Linked DNA regions of Drosophila melanogaster. The protein of the gene in region 2 purifies or fractionates together with the protein of the main gene of each other region. This does not show direct contact. Each region holds a gene or a part of one and is shown on either strand. Other genes may lie near its edges.

Region 1 (3,811 bases), on a different chromosome or scaffold from region 2:
GTCAGTGTATGTAATAGTTTCAAAATTAATTAAAGTTCATTTTTGTGTTCGGAATTTAAAAGTTAACTTAAGAAAGTATTTCATATTTTATTTTAGTATTTAAGCATAATAATCTAACCATTGGATTTAAGAACTTCAAAGGAAATTACGAAAATTGTCTATGTATGAATACAAACTATGCTGAAACTATTTATGTGGATTCCACCTACATCGGTCAACTTTTATTAAAAGTATCTAAAAACAATCATTTAATACACAATTTAAAAGTTTTAGGATGCATAATGCTTAATTAGAACAGGAGATGTAAGAATACTCATAAAATATTTCAAGAAAATTCGTGATACAAATTTTAAATCAAATGAAGAAAAATGTTCCTTAATTTATATGCTATTATAGTTTATATATATTACAAAATTTTAAATGCTTTAAGCTATTGAAGAAATATGAAGAGAACAAATAATTTGTTACTGATCGAGATAATAAAAAGGACCACTATTTTTGAGAACAGTTATAAAATACTTATCATTTTATTCATTTTTAAACAATTTCTAACATTTCGAAACATAATTCAGATATTGAAATGCTTTACTGTGTGTGCCTTCAGAGATTACGACCAGAATAGGTGTTTTAGTACATAAGGAAACAATCCTTCAGTCATGAAAGATGCACTACTAATCATCATTTACAGGTCCTTCAAAGGGAGCCTTGCAACCAGCCTTTTCGTAAAACTCGAATGGCAGCGGATCCTCGTTGTCGTAATAGTCGGAATCGCGGGCGCAACTGGGACCAAGTTCCATTTTCACCATCTTGTCGCGCCAAAAGTCGAGAAGCTCTTTGGTGAGAACCTCATCCCTCAGATTGAAAATCCAACTGTTGTAGTCGTCGGGCCCATAGAAACCAGCATCACCCTTGTACTCCTGCAGCAGCTCGGCGGCCTTGTTTTGATCCTCCGCTGAGGGTGTGCCATCGAAGAGCAGCTTCCAGATTATCTCCCTGGCGGCTGCCGCTATCTTCTTCACGCTGGCCTGGTGAACGCTGTCCGGAACGATGATTTTGGTCAGAACAAAGCGCTTCATTAGAGTTCGGTATTCCTCGAGCGGATTTTCCTTGGTCAGGGTGGCCTCAAATTCGCCAGACAGAGCGGCGGCATCATCGGCACTCAGTTCACCCGGAGTTGTAGGCGTCGCTGGCCCATCCTGATCCAGCGAAGCCTGCTCCTCGAGTGCTGCGCGCACCTTTAAGCTGGCTGCAAATGGAGCGGTACAACCGGCATGGGCATAGAACTCCAATGGCGGGGTGTCGTCGCTGTCAAAGAGATCACTGTCGCGTGACCAACAGGGACCGAGTTGCTTCTTCACCAGCACATCGCGCCAAAAGTCGAGGAGTTCCTTCTTTAGAACCTCATCCCTCAGCTTGACAATCCATTCGTTGTACGGCGTCGGGTCGTAGAAGCAGGCGTCACCACGGTATTCCTCCAGCAATTGGCTGGCCTTCTCTGTGTTCGATTGCGAGGTACCGGCCTCGTCGAATAACAGCCGCCAGATGACGTCACGCGCCGCTGCAGCCGTTCGATCGAAATTCTCCTTGGTGACATCATCATCCACGATTTCGTCTACCTGCACGCGTGTTTCGATAAGCTTTTGGTAATCCTTAACGGGATCCACCAGGCCAATGGTGTAATCGTTCTGTCCAGACAATAGTTGTTATTGTTTGTAAACTATTTTTGTTTATTTTCTATGGCTGTTGCTTATTACCTGTGCTACTTTCTCGGCCGTTGCCATTTTGTCGGATTGTGTGTCCTCGGCCTTGCGCTTGGACATTCCCCTCTGGATAAATTGGCGATTTAAGGTTCTTCGAAGTAAAGCGTTTAAAATCGTTGGGCTATTGATCGTCACTTCTGTCGGAAAGAGATAAGATGACTAATTCAGATCGCCGCTTGCTGTTGCGATACTACGAATGTAAATAGTAGGGTAGTTCTTTTCAATAGAGAATAATTTTAATTGGAATATTCTCGGAAGGACAGACCAAGAATCAAAATAAGACGACTTATTGGATGAATAAGAAAAGAAAGTATGTGACATATTGAAAATATTATATATTTTATGTCGGTTTATAAATAAATATATATGTATATATATTGTACAACTTCCTTTAAAATCACATCTTACATTTAAAATAAAAAAAACTGTTTTTAAAAGACAATTGCAAAATAGGTAATTAAATTATTACAAAAAAGTATCGATTCTGCCCGCAATCGATGTTTATCTAACACTTAATTGCACTCGATACTATCGGCTCTATCGAGTGTTCGAGATTATCGAATATAATCACCATCCGTGTCTACCAACACAAACGAGCGAATTGTTCGCAACGCCTACTTCGATTACAAGTACTTTGCTCTTGGAAATCGGTAGAAAAAATTGTGCAATCCGTGCTGGAAACTACAGATATTATTTTCGCCCGATTAATTCATGTCAAATTGATAGATTCATCTTATACCATTGGTTCCGCCCCGTGCTGACTGTGTTTGTGTGTGTGTGTGCGTGACAGACACAAAGAAATTTGAGGTTAAGCTGCAGATGAATTTTGCGTTAATGTCGCTGAAAAACCAAAGTTTAACAATCCTATTCAATAAAAAACACTTAAGCTAAAGATACAATCAATTTACAGTTGCAATAAGAGCAATAGTTGTGTCGTAAAAGGCAACACACACCAGCCAATTGCATTCGTGGAATTCGTGTCGGTGAGAGTCTCGCGGTGCGTCTGTGTGTGCGTGTGGACGTGAATTCAATTTTCTCGTGCACGAAAAGCAACGAAAAAGCTTCAAAAGTTATACTCAAATGTGTATGGCAATTGTGGTAAGTGCGGCAGGGGATCGGCTACAGCCGCAAGTTTTTAAATAATACATTTTTGTTGCATAAATTGTTTCGAACGTCAACGAACACTCGCACAACTACTGAGCCACAAAGTATGTGTGCTTGTGTGCGTGCGTTGGCATTTACATTCAATTTTTTTCGTTTAAACAATTTCTAACTGGATTTTGTTTGTTTTATTCGAAAAATAGTCTTAAAAAACATGTTGGCATTAGAAATAGTTTCTGGAATTTGTTTAAATTTTTTTTTAGTATATATCAACCAGTTACATTTTTATTTGTCTGTGCAAAAACTATAAACAATTGTCATCTTGTAAAACTAGAATATGTTATAAACTAATTGTGTTTACGTTTTTTATAAATATGAATGTGAACTTTTTAAATGTATTCTTCTCAAAATACCAACAAATCTGTGTAATTGCTATGAATAATATTCTTTTCTTCGCAATCAAATTAATCGAATTGCAAATTCTGCTGTGCTTGCATAAAAAACGTTAAGGAAAGTAATGTAATGTCCCATTTGTTATCATACACAACAATCATATACTTCAATAAATGGGTAACTTCACGCATTTTACTTTCATTCGACCCAGTTACCTGGTTAACTGCCTTCGCCAGTTGAAAATAAATGTCAGCTGACCCAGTTTTACCATCCGAACGGAACTAGGACGGGACCAAAACTATTTTGCACTGCACCAGTTAAAGTTTATTTCTCTTATTTTTTTTGGCAGTTTTTATCATCTTCATACGTCATTTGCTAGGTACATACACGTAGATTCTAATCTAATATCTAATCTGTTGAAGACATTTCGAGCAGATTTATATCATATCAAAGCGGCAGAGCAAACAGTAAACAAAAGACATGGCCGAGAGAAATTGTTTTTTTTAGAACAAAACAGCCAAATCAGTTGGCATTTTATACTGAACAAATGTGGACGG
Region 2 (4,184 bases):
AAAAAGTGCGATCGGAGACCACGAATCAGACGCTGAACAAGTTCAAGCTGATGCAGCGCGAGAACATCATCTTCTACCACGATTTAACTCTGTTCGAGGATGAGCTGCACGACCACGGAATATCGGTGATGAGCGTGCGAATCGTAAGTGCTGATAAATACAAATTATAGAGCCCTTATCGAAGAAGCCCAACTCTTTCTGGCACAGCGCGTGATGCCCTCTGGCTTCTTCATCCTTTTGCGCCACTTTCTGCGCGTGGACCACGTGCTAATCCGGATGCACGACACCCGCTTCCACCACGAGATCGAGAACGACTTTATCCTGAAAGAGTACATCCATCGGGAGGCGCCTTGCACTGAGCTTCAAAACTGTGTGGCCTTCTGGACCAACCCGGATGAAATGCAAGAATTTGTGCCCGTGAAGTCCAAGCAGTTGCACAAGCTCTTCTTTAAGTAGTCCCGATGTCCGATGCTAGATGCCAGATCCCAGATCTCTAGGTTTATGTCAGTCGTCGCATTGGTTACAACTGCTGCTATATGCGTTTATTTATTGCCAACAGTGTGCGCATGCGCAGACGACATTAAAAGCGATTTTCCTAAAAGGCACACTACGATCAAAGCTATTAACACGAATAAAATATTGGGCGGACCAGCTGCCACATCCTCGGGCCTAGGCGGATCCAAGTAGGGCTGTCAGGGCCCGCTTGTAGTCACCAGAGGTCTCCGCCTGGAAAGTAAAGAAAGGAACGTATTGAAGCGAGATCCAAGTTCTTGCTTTTTTGGCTATGCCCTCTACACTACAATTACTACTTTGCCCGAAAATACTTTTTTGGCAAGCCAATAATGAGATATCGAAAAATGCCCAAGAACCAGTTTGCTTCGGCGTTCTTAGAAATAATTTGATGGGGATTTTGGCAGCATATGTAGCGTAAAAGGAACACTTGATAACGTGGAGTAACCAAGACCAGGAATACATCCGTTTCACCAATGGCGTGGCCAATACTTACGTCCTAGGACAACACAAACACCGCAACAAATGCCGACAAGTACGTGAAGAGAAGGGGAAAGGGGTGCGTTAACCATGTGCGAAGCACTCGCGATTCTTCGAGATCCACTTACCACCACGGCGCTGTGCAGCGTACGGTTGTAGATCCGCTCGAACTCCTGCTTAATGGTCTCCAGGTCGATCTCCGAGCGGCTGACGATGATGCGGATGAGCGTGGCGTCATCGGTGCCGGCGCCATTCATGGCCTTGTACAGGCGGTTGGCGAAGAAGGCCGCCGGTGACTGGACGCACTCAACTAAAAGGTTAAGAAGTGTGTCATTTAACCAAGTGTCTGTTACAACAATTACTTATAACGGAACAGTTAAATATATACTGACCTATGGCCATCATGGCCTCGTGCAGCTCGTCGGACATCTCGTGCTTGATGGCCTGCTCGATGGTCTGCCCGGAGAGCACCTTGTACTCCTCGAAGACGAGTCGCAGCTGCGGGAAGCTGGCGTGCGACATGATCCGGTTGAAGACCTCCTCGTCCGTTCCCAGCTTGGCCTCGCCGGCCGAGTAGAGCTGGGCGGCCTGCTCCTTGGCCTGACCGACGTCGACGGGCGTGTCCAGTCCGTCACGTACTCCGGTCACGATCAGCGTGAGCAGGCGGCGGAAAAAGCCGGAGGTCTCGCTGCACATCTGCTCGGCCAGCGGGCGCTGGTAGCGCTCCTCGTAGACGGCCACGATCTGGGCCATCTCCTCGTTGGTCTTGGTGCACAGGATCTCGACGAGCGTGGCCTCCTCGGTTCCGATGCCCGCCATGGCGGCGTGCAGTTGCTTGCACAGGTACTCCACTGGTGGCATCATTAGACCCACGATCACGTCCTCGAACTTGCCTCCCAGCTCGTCCTTAAGATCGTCCACCAGGTCGCGCTCGAACTCCGCTTCGTAAACCGCCTTGATCGTCTGCCTCTGCTGGTTGCTCCTGCCGACGAGCACGTCGATGATTTCCTGCTCGTCGGTGCCGAATCCCTTCATCGCCGCCCGCAGCACCTGGGCGTCCTGGGAGGCGTCGAAGGGAGCTGCGTCCTTAACCGTGGGCACGGGCTGCACAGTAAAAATTTAGTTGTATATTAAATATAATTTTAGCAAAAAAAAAAAAGCCTAATAGTTTAGCAGCCTAACAAATATTATGGTCATATTCAAATCATTCATTTACACATATAACATTTCAAATATCAGAAAGTAGCTGCATACAATGAGGATTGAACTTCCTATGGTAACTCTCTGTTTTCGATAGAAACTAATATTTTGGAAAGTTAATACATTCAAACTCAAATCATTAAGCCATATGCATTTTTCTTCCCGTGTAGCGAGTGACGCATCGCCGTGGCGAATCAATAACAGGCATTAGTGCAATAATGGAATCATCTCTAGCCTGGCAATCCAATCCACTCACTTTGTATTCCATTATGCAGCTGGAAGATTCCTTGGGTTCCTTGTGGCTCTTCAGTAGACGACTTCACACGAATCAGTCTTTCTCCTGGGACTTTTTTGCGAATTCTTCTTGCGACGTCTTGTCGCCTCTGCCTGCTTTTGCTAAATAATTCGGATTGGGAGGCACTGCACCGAGGTCTCTTTTCAGTGCTCTCCGGTTTGCGCTCGGTGCAGAGCACAAGTTTTACACACGAAGAAAAATGAGACTTGTTTTTGGATGGCAGAATCTGAAGGCAGCACTCGGCTACGTAAATTAAATACACATATTGTATTGCTTTTGGCTCAAAATCGATCGGTTTTTATCTAATTTCTTTTGTTTTAACATAGAAGGAATATTTTTGAATTCTTTTCGAATTTGAAATCGAAAGTTTTTTTTTAATTTTAAAGCATTTGTTATCTGTTTTAGATAATGGATGCGATGTATTGCAACATAGGTACCTGCCATTTCCCCGTTTGAAGCCAATCTTGTTTCTCTCAGTGTATAAGCTTACGCGAGCGCGAGAGAGAGCTTTTAATTCCGCTTCAATTGGGGTTGCACTTGAATTCCAAATCAACTGATTCATTCGGCACATTTCTTGAATTAATTAATTAAAACCTGGCGATGAGATCGTAAAAGCTTAAAATGTGCACAAGCATCTAGGTTTTAATGGAATTTTTAATGCGCTTTATGCCGAAAGAGTCGAAAATGGATTCAAGTGTCTTGGAAAAAGTCGCTTCAAATGTTTTCAGATCTTAAAAAACAAAATATCGAATAAAATCATTTCTGAGGGTATACACTTTATATCCGAGCCAAATAATAGACATCTTTTTCTCGTAGGATATCTTGTATAGATATTATGTTTATTTAATCTTGTTAAATAGGCTTCGCTATAATACATTTACATTTGGGCTCTACTAAAACAAACAATGGATTACCAATCAAATATGCGGGTAGTTCTATTCTTATGTATATATATATGTACATATGTATGTATGTTTGTCTATATTCTGTCAAGTAGAGAATGTTGCAGTTTCCCCTGATTTCTTGGCGACTTTTAAGTGATTCTGAGCACTTGGACTGCAATTGAGTTTTGAGTTCTGGGTTCTATACAGTAGCGGGATCCCAAAAATACAACTTAAATTTTGTTCTAGGACGATCCTGTAAGCTTAGCAAAAGTGGTATCGACTATTAACTATATCGTCCTAGATCTCGTCACCCTGGTTCATCTTGATCTCGCTAAGATGGGTGTTGAACCGCGACCATTCGTCGCGCGATGGCTGCGCCAGGTTCTCGGCCACGTCGTACACGTACAGCTTGCCGGCCTCGTCGCCGATGCACAGGCCGGATGGAGTCCAGGAGTCGCGGCGAAGGGCTGGTGCTCCGTGTCTGGGTTGAGTTTTATCAGGTCCAGGCGGCCGCTGCCGTCGCACGGGCGACCAGGCGATGTACTGCTCAAAGGAGTACAGCGGCTTGGTGTCCTGAAAGAGTGGGCATATTTGAATTAATTCCGGAGACGACAGAAAACTGGCAACTTGATATGGGTACCTTTAGCGACCAGAGCTTGATGGTCCAGTCAATGGACGAGGTTAGGAAGAGGTGGCCAAAGTCCGGCGACAGCTGGTTGTAGTGCGTGGATATGCCAGTGATAGGGCCAAGATGGCGTTCGTAAACCTCGTTGACCCCGGAGCGCAGGCCGTGGCGCGAGGCGGAGTAGACGTAG

What was found.
Region 1: the proteins of AnxB10 (region 2) and EndoGI purify together in Drosophila melanogaster (affinity purification with mass spectrometry, with the first as the bait; one large-scale study listed by BioGRID). This does not show direct contact.

The regions. Positions count from the first base shown.
Region 1 is NT_033779.5:16,256,123-16,259,933, reverse strand, and holds EndoGI (endonuclease G inhibitor), read right to left. Parts: upstream 2,247-3,811; 5' UTR 2,169-2,246; intron 1,930-2,168; exon of another isoform or gene 1,898-1,929; 5' UTR 1,821-1,897; coding exon 1,755-1,820; intron 1,686-1,754; coding exon 672-1,685; 3' UTR 501-671; downstream 1-500.
Region 2 is NC_004354.4:20,170,923-20,175,106, forward strand, and holds AnxB10 (annexin B10), read right to left. Parts: upstream 2,593-4,184; 5' UTR 2,459-2,592; coding exon 2,447-2,458; intron 2,095-2,446; coding exon 1,383-2,094; intron 1,301-1,382; coding exon 1,119-1,300; intron 1,010-1,118; coding exon 1,007-1,009; intron 727-1,006; coding exon 670-726; 3' UTR 523-669; downstream 1-522. Other genes in the region: CG9578 (uncharacterized protein), read left to right, coding at 1-143, 208-456; Sdic1 (Sperm-specific dynein intermediate chain 1), read right to left, coding at 3,667-3,942, 4,010-4,184.